2 linked regions of the Arabidopsis thaliana genome follow. The protein of the gene in region 1 interacts with the protein of each later gene in a pairwise test. Each region holds a gene or a part of one and is shown on either strand. Other genes may lie near its edges.

What was found.
Region 2: the proteins of CYCD4;1 (region 1) and CDKE;1 interact in a two-hybrid assay, tested with the Arabidopsis thaliana proteins (one large-scale study listed by BioGRID).

What each region holds. Positions count from the first base shown.
Region 1 is NC_003076.8:26,138,970-26,147,587, forward strand, and holds CYCD4;1 (CYCLIN D4;1), read right to left. Parts: upstream 5,025-8,618; 5' UTR 4,782-5,024; coding exon 4,521-4,781; intron 4,374-4,520; coding exon 4,344-4,373; intron 4,215-4,343; coding exon 4,128-4,214; intron 4,026-4,127; coding exon 3,927-4,025; intron 3,836-3,926; coding exon 3,631-3,835; coding exon of another isoform or gene 3,557-3,630; intron 3,495-3,556; coding exon 3,367-3,494; coding exon of another isoform or gene 3,331-3,366; exon of another isoform or gene 3,144-3,330; coding exon of another isoform or gene 3,141-3,143; exon of another isoform or gene 2,770-3,140; coding exon 2,623-2,769; 3' UTR 2,501-2,622; downstream 1-2,500. UniProt on the Arabidopsis thaliana protein: May activate cell cycle in the root apical meristem (RAM) and promote embryonic root (radicle) protrusion.
Region 2 is NC_003076.8:25,462,430-25,467,904, forward strand, and holds CDKE;1 (cyclin-dependent kinase E;1), read right to left. Parts: upstream 3,494-5,475; 5' UTR 3,294-3,493; intron 2,734-3,293; 5' UTR 2,629-2,733; coding exon 1,216-2,628; 3' UTR 933-1,215; downstream 1-932. Other genes in the region: AT5G63620 (GroES-like zinc-binding alcohol dehydrogenase family protein), read right to left, coding at 3,951-4,135, 4,258-4,435, 4,517-4,658, 4,752-4,965, 5,053-5,146, 5,231-5,300, 5,381-5,475. UniProt on the Arabidopsis thaliana protein: Involved in cell differentiation. Required for the specification of stamen and carpel identities and for the proper termination of stem cells in the floral meristem.

The DNA of each region.
Region 1 (8,618 bases):
ACTTCGCAAATAAAACGCAGTTAGCTCAACCGAACAATATCTAATTCGTTAGAAAATTCAATAATTCAGTTGAACTTTAATACAAATCTTGGCTAAGTTAGATCGTAATTTTACGTATAACTTTTAGTTGCTAGAAATTTTAATTTCGTCTACATTGCTTCATAAATCGAGTTATAAGAGAAATAATGATGAGGACATGTATAAATATTATGATTATAGACTTTATTCAGAGGGGAGAAATGTTTACTCGCTGATGCAGTAATGAGAAATGTTCGTACCATACGTTGGAGTCTGAACTTGTAATAAATGTTCATAGAAAGTAGTGAAAATTAAAGTAGTTAAGTTAATTTATCAAAAAAAGAAAAGTAGTTAAGTAAATGAATTTTAGGGTTGTTTTTGGATGTATGGTGAAATTGAAATTATTGAGGAGCATAATATTTTGATCAGATAATAATACTATTTATTTAAACATGATTTTTTAATTTTACTGTGGTCCTCTTCATGGAATCTTTCAGTCAATACGCAGAAACCCATCGGACAACGACCCATCAATGTGTATATTATGTACCATACATATATTATATGAGTGTATACGTTTATATCATCATCATCATCATTATCATCACCATCATCATCATTCTCACAGTGTTTTTACTGTGGAATTGTTACTGTCGTTATGCTTCATTTAGGGAATCTAAATGTGACCCGCAAGCAGGGTTTATTACCTCCCTTTCAAGCTAAGTTTCGAAACAAGTAGTTTTTTAATATGAAAAAGTAAAAAGCTTTATTTTGATTGCGTAAATTTAAATGTAGGACAAGCTAGGGTTAGTAGGACAAGCTAGGGTTAGGGTTTTATATTTCTTTAAACTATATGATATGGGCATACTCTTAGCTTCATAAACATTGCCCTAATTTGGGAAACTGATGATGATTCACGTGCAATGAATAATTTTTTTTTTCTTTCCTGCTTTACATTTCAATTTTTACTTATTCTTAGATATGTAGTTAATTAGTCATGTCGTACCATGATTCAAAGAATTTTACGATTGTATGGAATTCTTAAATACGTAATTTGTTTTTCTTTATACGAAAGGAAAAATATTTTAGATTTGTATTTGGGTCTAGTGGGATGGTTTGTACCATCTTAGTTGAATTTGCTAATCTAATACAAATTAATAGTTGGGAAAAAAAGGAAAAGTATTTTCTCTTTAGTTCATATGTAAAAGAAAAGGCAAAGGTTGAGAAAAGTTTAGAAGCTATAACTTTTAGCAACTTTTATTTCAGGGAAAATAAAAAATATATAATTTGGACAGTTGAATGACTGTGACGACTCATTATGACAAAGCCCAATGAAAGAATTATAAAAGTTTATTTGTTTTGTATTGTTGTCTTCACTTAGTCCTCTGTCCAACTCCAAATAGTTTCTTCATTTCAAAATTTTCACACAATCGTACACAGACATATAATTATGTACGTATATATATATATATATATATCATTCCGTGAAGATTAATTTTGACTGTGTCTAGGATCCTAAAATTGAACACCATTAATATAATTAGTGAAAAGCTAAATAAATTTAAAAGTCTAGTATATGCAGTGATAAAATCATATTCACAAAGTTTTCAATGACAGATGATCTTTCACATTCACCAATTACATGATGGTTATTACTAACATTATTTATTTTATTGATTATTGAGACATATAGAAAATAACTGAATACAACAAATGTTATGAGTTAAAATTGTAATTATTTTAAAGAAAATATATACCAACTAGCATTTGTTAATACATAATTTAAGTTTTTTTCTTACACAACTATTTCACAAGATTAGACCGACTTGTTTAATGATGTATAGAGACTTTTTTTTAACCTTTTCAGATTAAAAATGTCTATTTAAAAAATGATACAAAAAGGGGAAATCTTCATAAATTATCTCCACGCACAATTATTTTATTTCAGGATCATCAAATTGCTAGTATGCCATGCGACAATGGTAGACCCAAATGATTAAATTTAATGAATATAGCATTGGCCCATTTTCTTCATAGTTACAGATCCTAGAGGTTTAGTGGACCTGGAGTCCAATCATTTTATTTATTTTTTGTTAAAAAGTTTTCAATAAAATATTGGGATTTTGGAGTTTTGTTGATAAAAGGTATAAAACGCAAAAGCTCCATAAAGCACAACCTAGCTTTGGTCTCTTTACGTCAACTTTAAGTCAAAGACTTCTGTTCGTGGGCCCAATTCTAAGCCCATTAGTGCGATGCGCGCTTTATCTCACAACGGCACCGTTTGAATTAAAAAAGGTCAACTCTAACGCTCAACAGAACCGATACGGTTTTTTCCCGCTATATTTATTTGGCGGGAACCAATTAAAAAAAGCTCTGTTTTTCCTTTGTTTTATTTTCTTTCTCTTTTTTGCTATTTCCTGCCAACAAAAAATTCTTATAATTTTATTTGTTCAGTATTACCAAAGCTATAAACAAATCAAATATTGAAATTAATACACTTTTATTTATTTAAAAATTTTTGCTTTGATTTATTGTCCTCTTTTTTCAACCTCTCATCAGACATCATACTGATTATAATAATGTAAGAAAAAAACAGTTTTTTTTTTAAGAAAGATGTGTATAAGAAGAAGAAGAATCATGGGTCTTAAAGCTGAAACAACAAGCCGATACTTCTAAAACCCCATTGGGTGTTTGTGAACATAAGTCTGAGCCATCACTCTCTATCATTTCCCCTATCTTCTTCACTCTCTCCTGCAATAAAAGGAACCACAAAGTTTAAAGCTTGACACTTTTGTTTTTGTCTCTTGAACACAAACACAAACACAACACACAAAGATCTCTTCAGCTTTTTCTGGTGTAGAAAAACAACTAATGGAAACCAGGCTGATGTTTTGGATTGCAAGATCAAATCAGAATCAAACATGTTTTTGTGGGGGCAGATTGGTTTTAGATGTGACTAGAGGCTGTGCAGTGAATGTGTGTGTGTGACAGAGAGAGTCACAAGACACATAGCTAGAGAATAATATAATTTAAAGTGGTCTTTGGTCTACTCTCCACTAGTTTTGGAAGTCAAAGGATTCAGACCCATTAACCGGTTTCTCTTTTTTTTTTTTTTTTTTTTTTTACTTTTTGGATTTATAATTACACATATTATGTGTATGCAATGAATAAGTTAGTGCACACACATATATACACATAAATGTGTCATCTTTAATGAGTTCAAACTTCTCCACAACTGGCATTTCCTTGAAATTGAACCACCAAAGGCTGCTTTATATGTGTGTGTGTGTTTGGTATTAAAAAACAATAGATTTATGAGTTTGAGATGTTTGGTGGATTGTTTTTTACCTTTTGAAGTAGTGAGAAAAGAGGAGAGAAGGAAGAGTTGTCAAAGTGTACTCTCTGCAATTCTCCAGAAACAGAAAGTGCCACAGCAGCAGCAACTTCAGAAGGTCTAAACTCCAAAAAGTCAATACCTGCTCACTCGACACAACCACCATTTTAATCCAAAATCATAAAAAGCAAAAGTGAAAAAAACAACAAAACCCAAAAAAGCACAAAAACAAAAGTGGTCAAGAAAATAAAACATAAAGGAAAGACTTTTTTTTTCACCTTTGGTTGTGCTGGCTATCACTTGTAATGATCTAGATATCAATGTGTTGGATGGTTCTTGATCACATTTACTCATCTTTCTCAGGAAATATCTTATGTATGAGCATGGAGTTATTGCTCTCAATCTCCATTTCAATTTGTTCAACACCAAAAGCTCCATTCTTTGGACTGATTTAGCCTCAAACACAAACTGAGGATCTCCAACCTGTTCCGAAATGTGATCAAACCGCAATCGATTCAAGACATTGTCGGGTCGAATAGAACATCTCGACAATTTAACGAGTTTAGAGGAGAACCTGAAGATCTATCAACATTGGAACTTCAGTTTCTTCAATTTTGGCTGCCAATGATAAACAAGCCACAGCCAACAACTGCAATATCCAACCTTTGCCACTCTACAAGAAGAATCACAAATCAAGAAGCGAAAAAATGAGACTTTTTGATGATGAATGGCTAAAAACATTATCAATCTTTTAGTTTAACCAATGTGAACTTACAGGCAAATCATGAACCGATAAGAATCGATCCAAGTAGTTCATTGCTAAGCAAAAACACAATGGTCCAAACTGGTGTACTTCACAAGCCTGTTGTAATCAGAACAGAAGAAAAGATCAATTAGAGATCTAAAACTCTGAGACTGAAGTGAATCTATTGTCAATTGAAGTGTGAAAGATCGGAAATTGAGCATCAGATTTACAGATTTAAGACAAAACCTCTCTATCTGTTCTGCATAAGCCTCTGATCTAATAGACATAGCAACACACTCTTTATGTTCAGATCATTCATCAAAAGGATTGTGCTTTTCACAATTTGAGCTTATACAGATCATTCAAAACCAATCAACATCCAAATTTCAAAACCAGAAATCAAAATCAAATAGAGAATCAGACCTTCCAAATCCAATTGAGGGCATCTCTTCTTCCAACATTCAAATCCAAATCTCCACTTCTAAGTCTCTTGATGTAATCATCACTTGGCAAATGCTGCTTCTCCTTCTCCACCATCTCCATGATAATCTCCTCACTCTCCGATTGAGAAAAACCCATCTGAGGAATCGAAATTTCAATCGGAGTTTCGTCAACAATCATGCCCTCATCATCAACGTTGCTCTCTGTACATAAAAGACTCAGTTCTAGATTCTCCTCTGCCATTACAACAGAGTGTTCATGTAAGAAAAATTGATCCTTTGTATTTGGTAATCGATCTAAAAGGAACTGTATCGTTAGATTGTCATCTAGAGATTGGGGAAGTGAAAGAAAGATTGGGTCTTTGATATTTCTGTATGCCCTCGTGGAGGAAGGGGTTTTTGTTTTGGGGTTGAGGGTAAAATTAAAGGGTGAAGCTTTTCTTTTTTTTATTGAGGAAGTTAAGAAATGTGGTTTTTAGGGTAAGATGGAGATTGTGTGAGAAGGAGAGAGGCTATATATAATGGTGAAGAAGATGAAAAATGTAAGATAAAATTTGAAGATTTTAGAAAGTGAATTGACTATCATGGTAACAAATGTGAGAAGTTGGAAAATTATGAAAATGTGGTAGGAAATTGAGGTGAGAATTGAAAAGTTAGTTGGTTTTATTCGTTGTATTTTAGTTTTTAGATGATGAATCGAGTGAATATCGTTGGTAGTTCGGTATCAGATTTGCGCCATAAGTTTTTTGGAATTTGTATTTCGGTCTTGTATGCATAGTTAACAGTTAACATTTTTGTATATTCAATGGTAAAATATTGAATGTTGAAAGATTTAATCATAGTATATGTCTTTACATATTTTTTGATATTTCATAATTTTATTCCTTGTTTTAATAACAGTAAAATATATATAGTTTGACTAATAGTTTAAAACAGTATTGAATTCTATAAATCTTAGGAAATATTTTTTAACAAAATTGTTTGACTAAATAATGCAATTTGATATTATGATCGAAATATACGCTGAATCATGATATTTTATTTTCAATATCCGACATTGAACAAAATAAAAATGACCCCAAAAAAACTAATGTAAATTCATGCCACAAATAAAAAGAAGTTTTGAATGTAAAATTTGACTCAAAATCCATCTATAATGATATTTGAACCATTTGCTCTGGTAGATCTTTGACCACTGTTTTTTGATTCTAGGGTCACTTTTAGACACAATAATTTCAATATCTATCATCATTGCATATACCTTTGAATGAAAAAGCAGACTGTATATTTGTATAAGAACTACGTCATATACTCATTTAAGTTCAAAATATGGTCTCTGTTTGTTACACAATATGGTCTTTGTTTTTTACACATTATGGTCTTTCTTTAATATGGTTTTAGTTTACCCAAATATACTGTCTTCTGTTTTACCCAACTTATAAGATTTAACTATAAGGTTTTTAATATTTATAAAAGTATTTATTTTTGTTCTCTTGCAAGTTGAGGTCAATAACTAGTGCTCTATCACCTCCAAAGATTCTACATTAGTATATTTGTAAGGAGATTAGTATTTTTTATTTATAAATAGTAATTAGTAATTTTCTACCACATGAAAATAAAGCTAGCTACGCGACGAGTTGCTTGAAAACACCACACGAGAATTTCTTGCTTGAGGTTACATGGCAAATAGTCATCGAGCCACTGGTTTCAACTTTCAACTACTATATAGTCATGTTATGGAATGAAACATCAAACATTAGCTCATTGTCATTTTAGTTAACAAAGTCGTATTTTGTAGGAAGCAAATGAATTACACAAAATTCATTGCAATAATAAAGAAAATTTTTCCTTGAAAACGATTATCTTACTTTCAAAAATCAAATTTCATTCTATATTATATCTGTTATTCTTACAATTTTCATATTTTCTCGTTTCTTCATTATCAGTCGGAGTCTTAAAAAATTGTAAAGATAAACTCCTGTTCATACAATATATTCTTATCCAACTAAGTTTTAGAAATCACCGATGCGCACCAAAACACACAGCTTTTTGAAATTGTAAAGTAGAAACAAGTCTACAACTATACGACCGCAAAAAACCCTTTAACATAAATTAAAAAAAAAAAAAACTATACGACCGCGAGCATGTTTGATCTTTCGGTTTGTAGAATTTTATAAGATATAAAAGAAATGTATTATATCATTTTACCAAGGTGCTCTTTTATTTTGTTGGTAGTGTAGTAGTAAGTATAGTAATAACGTGATTGTGACAATCACGTGTCAGCTAATAAACTTTGATGTTTTTACTGTCTTTAAATTTGATTATCTTTTCGAGCGGTGAGAAGAAACAAAAGTTTAAGTTAAAGCAAAAAAAAGAATGAAGCGTTTTTTTTTCCGAATTAAACTTAAAAGGCTCAACTATTTATAGATTTTTATTATCTTTCATGCATGCAAATGTGAAATGCCAGACAAAAGTGGTCCAAGTACACTTTTGATGTTTTGCTACTCTTTGTGTGTTCTGAGATTCTAACTTGTAAGTTTCTGCCTCTCTCTATATAACTTTTTTTTTTGGTATAGTGAATATATAATTCGTGTTTTATGCACGCCTATGTCAACTTAACAAACACTTTGCTCGAGTCACATGGCCTGATGGTTCAAATCCGAAGTTAGATGTTTTTTAAAAAAATTATAATGAAAACGTCGGCTGAATCCATCGGTTTGGTCCGACCTGTAAAGAATTTAAAATAAATCTAACTAATTAGTGAAGTCTAAAACGATTTAGGTGATCATCAGTTTTAGGGTTTCAAACCCCGATCAAATCCAAATCAAATCTAAATCCAAATTTCAAACCCGAAAAACTGATTTTATATCCACAATTTATATATTACATATTCTAATTGTCAAAATATGCAGATTTTCAGATATTTAAAATTATTTAAATAAATTTAAATAAAAACTGTTCAAAAACTTTTAAATATTTTGTGTATTTTCGAGTGGTTTGAATAAGTTATCAGACTCTAAAATCTCCGAATACTAAATTCAAAAATCCAAAAATCCTCAATTCCCGAACAAGTACCTCATTTATTTGTGTGTTTATTGGTCTTAAACGATTAGGTACCGAGTTAGTTTAGCAATTTTAGTGTGTTCCAACGATCGTCTGTTCAGTTTTCTAGTGAATTTCGACTAAGTGTTAGTGATCAGATTTGTTGGTCATTTGTGTGAACTGGTAGCCATTTGTTCTTTTAACGATTCGGGACCAAGTTAGTAATTTTAGTGTTTCGACTAGCGATCGTTTGGTTAGAGCGATTAGATTTGTTAGTCATTTGTGTGTGATCATTTTGTTTCGACACACGCCCATCTACGCAGACTAGACATACACACATTCACCCTACACATACATCTACACACATTCACCCTACACATACATCTACACACATGTTACACACGTCCCCGCTATTTCATCCACACCCCTATACACACATCTATGATCTATACATGATCCATGTCATCAAAAAACAAAAAAAACATGTTACAATAGTTTATATACACAGAGTCTGGTTAACTTCAAAGGCTGGCCAAGCAGAAGATGGAAAACTCTGGACACAGCCCAATATGCTCTGTTTCCTTCACTACCACTCTGCAAAATTAATCAAGATCAATTTTCATTACAATTCTTTAATCTTCCGCTGTCAACAATTTTGCTTCATGTATAATTAGTACGCTTACTATAAAAATCCAAAAATCTTTTTAGACAAAACCTTTTATGTCTTTGCTTTTCACAAATATTAAAAAACCATTCAGTTTTCCTAGTACAGAACATATATAAAACTCAGAATACCATACACATAATTGATCTCACAACATGATATATATAATTGAAGACACACATATATAACTAAAATAGTTTACTACACTAACTAAACAGAGTCATGACAGCTAAAACAGAGCATCTTAATGTTTGTTGAACTCTATAAAACATGTATGGAAGATGACAAACACAGCAATTAACAGAGAAATCTTCTAATGGTAAAGGGAAAACTAGAGGAATTAATTATTAGAGCAGAGACTTTTACCTTTATATG
Region 2 (5,475 bases), 680 kb from region 1:
TGTAACCATTATTGGGTTGTAATATTTTTAGACTCTTATACTTATCTACTAAAATAAAGAAGACACAACTAGCTAGTTTGTAGCAAACGTAACGATCACGTTAATTAACAGCCTAATAATTGTATTATGGCAACGTCGTGGGTCCATTGTGTATCTTTAAATCATAAACCGTCTCATAACATTGGCCGCCATATATTTAAGAAATAAGAAAAATACAAAACTAGCTTTCTGACTTCTGCTAAAGACAAAAATAGCTAGGTTTAATTAAGAAGAAACTGTGTGATTGTGTCGATCTTGGTAGGTCAATGCTTCATATTTATACTAAATTGCTTGCAAACAGTGAGTTTTATCTTTAGCAGAAGTCAGAAGTCTGTTTGTGACTTCCACGATGCAGAATCACGTACAGTTTGTATAGCTTGGTTCACACATTTCAGGCTAGTTCAAGGTTTGTGGTTTTCTTATCCACTTATTTATTGTATTTGTCCTGAAACAAACAAGCATATATATAACTCTTCTTCGTTCTTTTGAATCTTAAATAAAAGTCATAATAATAGAAAAACATTTCTCATTCATTTGTTTGTGTTGTATATATATAATATTTCTATTATGAAACTGATGGTAAGGTGAACAAAAACAAAATTTTGATTTGGAAAAGTATTATGTTCGTAATAATTGGATCACTGCTTACGTAGTATAATTGAATACAAGTTTGAAAACATTATTTTACTAAAGTATAATCTTTTCAAACTTTAATAGCAATGTTTAAACTGTGTGGTATTAAATATTCATTAGGTCTATGATTGATGATGTAATTACATTAGATTCTAATGTATGTTGGTGGTAAATAGATAAGACTGGCAGGTAAAAAAAAAACAAATTTCATAAACAGTAGAAACATCACCAAAATTGTGTTCATAATAACTGTAAATTGTGTTCATAATAACTGTCTCATTATATATATTTTTCACTTGGCAAATCTCCTATTTACTACGTTTTGAGAAATGATGTTAAGAGAAATGATGATCTAATATAATTAACAAATACTTGAGAGGATGTTTATACAAAAACTACAGAGAATCCAATCCATCCATATGAATAGCAACATTCCACATGCTGCATTACAATCTAACTCTACTCTATAAAGCAAATCGCAACGCTTTCTTCTGCGGCAAACACACAGATTCTAACCCGAGACTGATGATCTCGATTTTACCTTTAGAGGCGTCTGGATTTGTTAGGAGGTGCGTAACCTGACATACCCATTCCGGGATCTTTCCTTCTTAGCTGTTGCTGCTGGTGCGGTTGAGCCATCCCGCGCTGCTGCTGCAGCGGAACACTCGGGTTAAGCCCTGCCTGTGCCGGGAAATTATAAGCCATCATGCCTTGAGATTGCTGCATCCTCTGCATGTTATGTGCAACCATTGGTCTTGGCATCGATCTACTGCCCATTCCATGAGCTCCTGCCATGTTCCCTGCTACGTTTCCTGCTGCTACTGCTTGAGGCGGATTGATGCTTGTCGTGCCTTCGAAATCGGTGTTTGTATCTACTGGACGAGTTGGGTAATTCACATTCTTCTCCATCGGTTGGCTGGCTACAAATGCGTTCCGTCCTGGGAGAGGATCCATTCGGAAATACTCGTGTTCTAGTGCTTGTGAAGCCGTGATCCGCTTTAGAGGATCATATTCCAGCATTTTGGATAACAGATCATACGCAGGACTTTTCTGATTCAGGTGAACCACGTTGTGGAGACCCACACTGTCGTATTTGTGAGCTTGAATGTGTTGAACATCATTTTGCCAGTGTGGAAGGTTAACTAGTGTTGGCCATTTATCCATCGTCGGGTGGCCTAAGATCTTGAATATCTTGTCAAGTTGATCTAACTGGAAAGGGTTTTGAGACGATTTCGCTTCTGCTCCTTGAAACAACGGTTTAAGAGTTAGTAACTCCGCGAATATACACCCAACTGCCCACATATCAACAGCGCTCGTGTAGTGCTTCGAACCAAGAAGCAGCTCTGGTGCTCGGTACCAGATTGTGACCACAACTCCGTTATCCGATAGTGGTTTCAACGGAGCTTGATATATCCTTGCGAGCCCGAAATCAGCTATTTTCACTATTCCGTGCTCTTCTGCATCACCCATAACCAAGATATTCGACGGTTTCAAATCTCTGTGTATAATCCAATTACTGTGAAGATAGTTCAATCCGTTGAGAAGCTGCCAGAGCAAAGACTTAACTGTGTATGTGTTTAACGAATGGCCGACTTTGTCTCTGTGGTGCCTGATGATTTCATAGAGATCGTACTCGGCATAATCAAAGGCAAGATACAGAGACATGTCTGCAAAATTGATGTGGACATTCACAAGCTTCACGACGTTCTCATGGGAAATCTCTCTAAGCAACATGATCTCGCGGATAGCAGTCGGGGAAACTCCATCTCCATCTTTGGACTGCTTAAACTTCTTGATAGCAATAGGTCTTTTAGGCGGAGTCTTGGTTCTAGCCAAGAAAACAAGACCATAAGTGCCTTCACCAATCTTACCAACGAGATTGTACTGTTGCAGCCACTCTGGTTTCTCACTAGTGCTGTTTGAGCTGTTGGATCTACTGGAACTCCCATCTCCCATTGCTTTTTAGTATTATTCTCTACCTCAATGTCCTTACCATGTGAATCGGAAAAGGGGTAGAGTCTAACAAAACAAAACAATCTTGGTTTCCTCTTTGTAGTTCTCCTGAAATTTGAACAAAACTTTGGAAAATCAGCCAAAGGAATCAAACCGTACATGTAATCTATCTAGATTCTAGACTCAATCAAGTGATCCAGAAAACTTACAAGCAAGAAACTTCACAGAAAAAGATCTAGGACTCCTCACAAACCAAATTCCAAAAGGAACGTTTCAAAATTAGCAGACAATAAAATTCACATCCCTCAGAAAACTTCATATGAACAAATTCAGACACAAAGACTCCAAATTATCAGCAATTGACGTCTTATCAAATCTCATATTCAAAATAGAATTCATCTACATCGAGACACGAAAGCTCGAGACTTTACTTCAAAAGATGGAAAAGGGATCAATCAATTCAGCAGAAATTACCAAGCTCCAAAGACCAATAACCAGAGGAAAACCCTACAAATTCAATACCCAGAGCTACGGTGCCCTAACCTAATCAAAGACCAAAAAATTTCGATACCACTTTCAAATTAAAAACTTCGAGGCCTTATACGATCTGTTTTTACATTTCTCAAAAATCGACGATCAGGAAAATAGAAATACGTAAAGGATCTGACCGGATAAGGCGGTCGGATGAATGATGGGAAGAGGAGCTGAGCTTGGAGAACCTCGGAGATGGAGGAGAGTAGACAAAAGCGAGAAAATTCCGGTGAGACGTCACGGAAGGGAGAAGATTGCGTTTTCCAGAAAACGGTGACGTTCCAAGCAGCCGACGCTGAGAATGGAAACTAGATTTGTAATTTTTTTAGCCACTTGCTCCAACTACGCTATTTATTTATTAGTAAATTCATTTATTTTTGTGTTCAAATAAGTAATTTCATTTAAATCATCGATATACATTAGTAGATTGGATATTTCTCATCAAAGATTTAATGATTTATAGATAATTTTATCAAAAGAGAAATAAATTGTGTTTTTTTATATATATGTCAGTTATTAATATTCTTAGAAAGTAGAAAATTGTGAAAAGAGGGAAGAAATTAAAAATATTAACAGTATAGAAAAACAATAAATGTTGGAAAGAAATGAAAAACAGTAAAATTATAAATTTTGTCCAGTTACTACAGTTTTTTTTTTTCCTTTTCACTGTCTAAACAAACACAAATATCAGATTAACAATGACCTTGTCTGAAGATTGTAGCAACTAAAAATAGACCTCAGTGAAACAGGTGTGAAGCAGTCATTCACAAACCAGAATCAAAAGGCTATATTGGTTATAGTATCTCAACAACACCTCGGCTCACGATTTTGCCTTCGTTGAGATCTTGAAATGCTTTTCCTGCATCTTCAAACTTGTATTTACTTGAGACTGCGTTTGTGAGATTGAAAATCCCTGACTCTGCCAATTTCACTACTTTAGGAAGATCCTGTCTTGCTCTTCCTCCATAAGATCCTATAACTTTTATCTTCACAAAAAATTGGAAAAACAGAACAAAAAGAGATTCAATATCATGATCTTAAAAGACAATCTCAGTACCAGAGACTTTCTTCTAACAAGGCCGAGAGAGAGAGAGTAAGAACCCCAAACCTTTCTACGAACAAGTCGATTTATGTCAATTTCTCCAACGGAACCAGCTTGTGAGAGTCCAATCATCACAGCTTTTCCACCATCTTTCACACTTAGTGTGCACTGCATGAAAGTTTGAGGCTTTCCCAAGGCTTCAACAGCAACATCAACACCCATCCCACCGGTTATTTCCTACGAAGAAGAAACAGTTTTTCATATTTATATCAATCAATGGTTCATCTTCACAAATAAGAGGTCTTGAATCAACCATACTCTTATCCTTTCAACAGCATCTTCTTTAGCAGCATTGACAATATGAGTAGCACCAAGTGTCTTGGCCTTCTGTAATTTATCATCCTGAACATCCACAGCAATGATATCCGAGGCTCCAAAAGCCCTTGCGATCTGCAAACAACTGAAGCAACAACTCAAAGATGGTTATGGTCATACAAGAAGCAATAAAACCCAAATCCGGTAAAGAAAAGAAAATGCCACACATTTAACATACCTGGAGCCCACACCACCAATTCCAATAACTGCAATAGAATCTCCAGGACGGATCTCAGCAGCATGAGCCATAGCACCATATGCTGTAAAAACAGCACATCCCAGAATGGCAGATTCAGAGTAGGGCAAAGACTCTGGTAGAGGAGCTAAACCATGAGCTGGTGTAACACAGTACTCAGCCATCCCTCCCATACTATACATATACACTGGTGAATCTGCCAGAAATTAAGAAATGTAATTAGGTAAAACAATCACAGTTCTCCTAATATGCCACCTGATGTTTAAAAAGTCTTCAAATTTACCATCATGTCGCAAAAAGAGACGAGTTTCGCCATCGTAAAGAGTTCCCTTGGCTCTGTTGTAAGCAAAGAAGTCTTCACATAGATCATCATGGCCCTGTATCCAAATTAAAATATCAGCTAAAAAGCTACAGTTCTCAGATTAGAGAATCCGATGAAAGCAATACAATTTCGTTCTCACCTTAGCACAATAAGAACAGGTTCCACAAGGCATAATGAAAGCTCCAACTACACGAGACCCGATTGGAAATCTGAAGAAAAGTTGAGACATTTAGGATTTCTTCAAAACATATGATTCCATTAGTGTGGAGGTGAAGTAAAGTTGACAAACCTATTAATGATCTTGTGATCAGTAAGTGGACCATGTTCAACAACTTCACCAGTAATCTCATGACCAATAACACAAGGACTAGCGAACGGTATCTC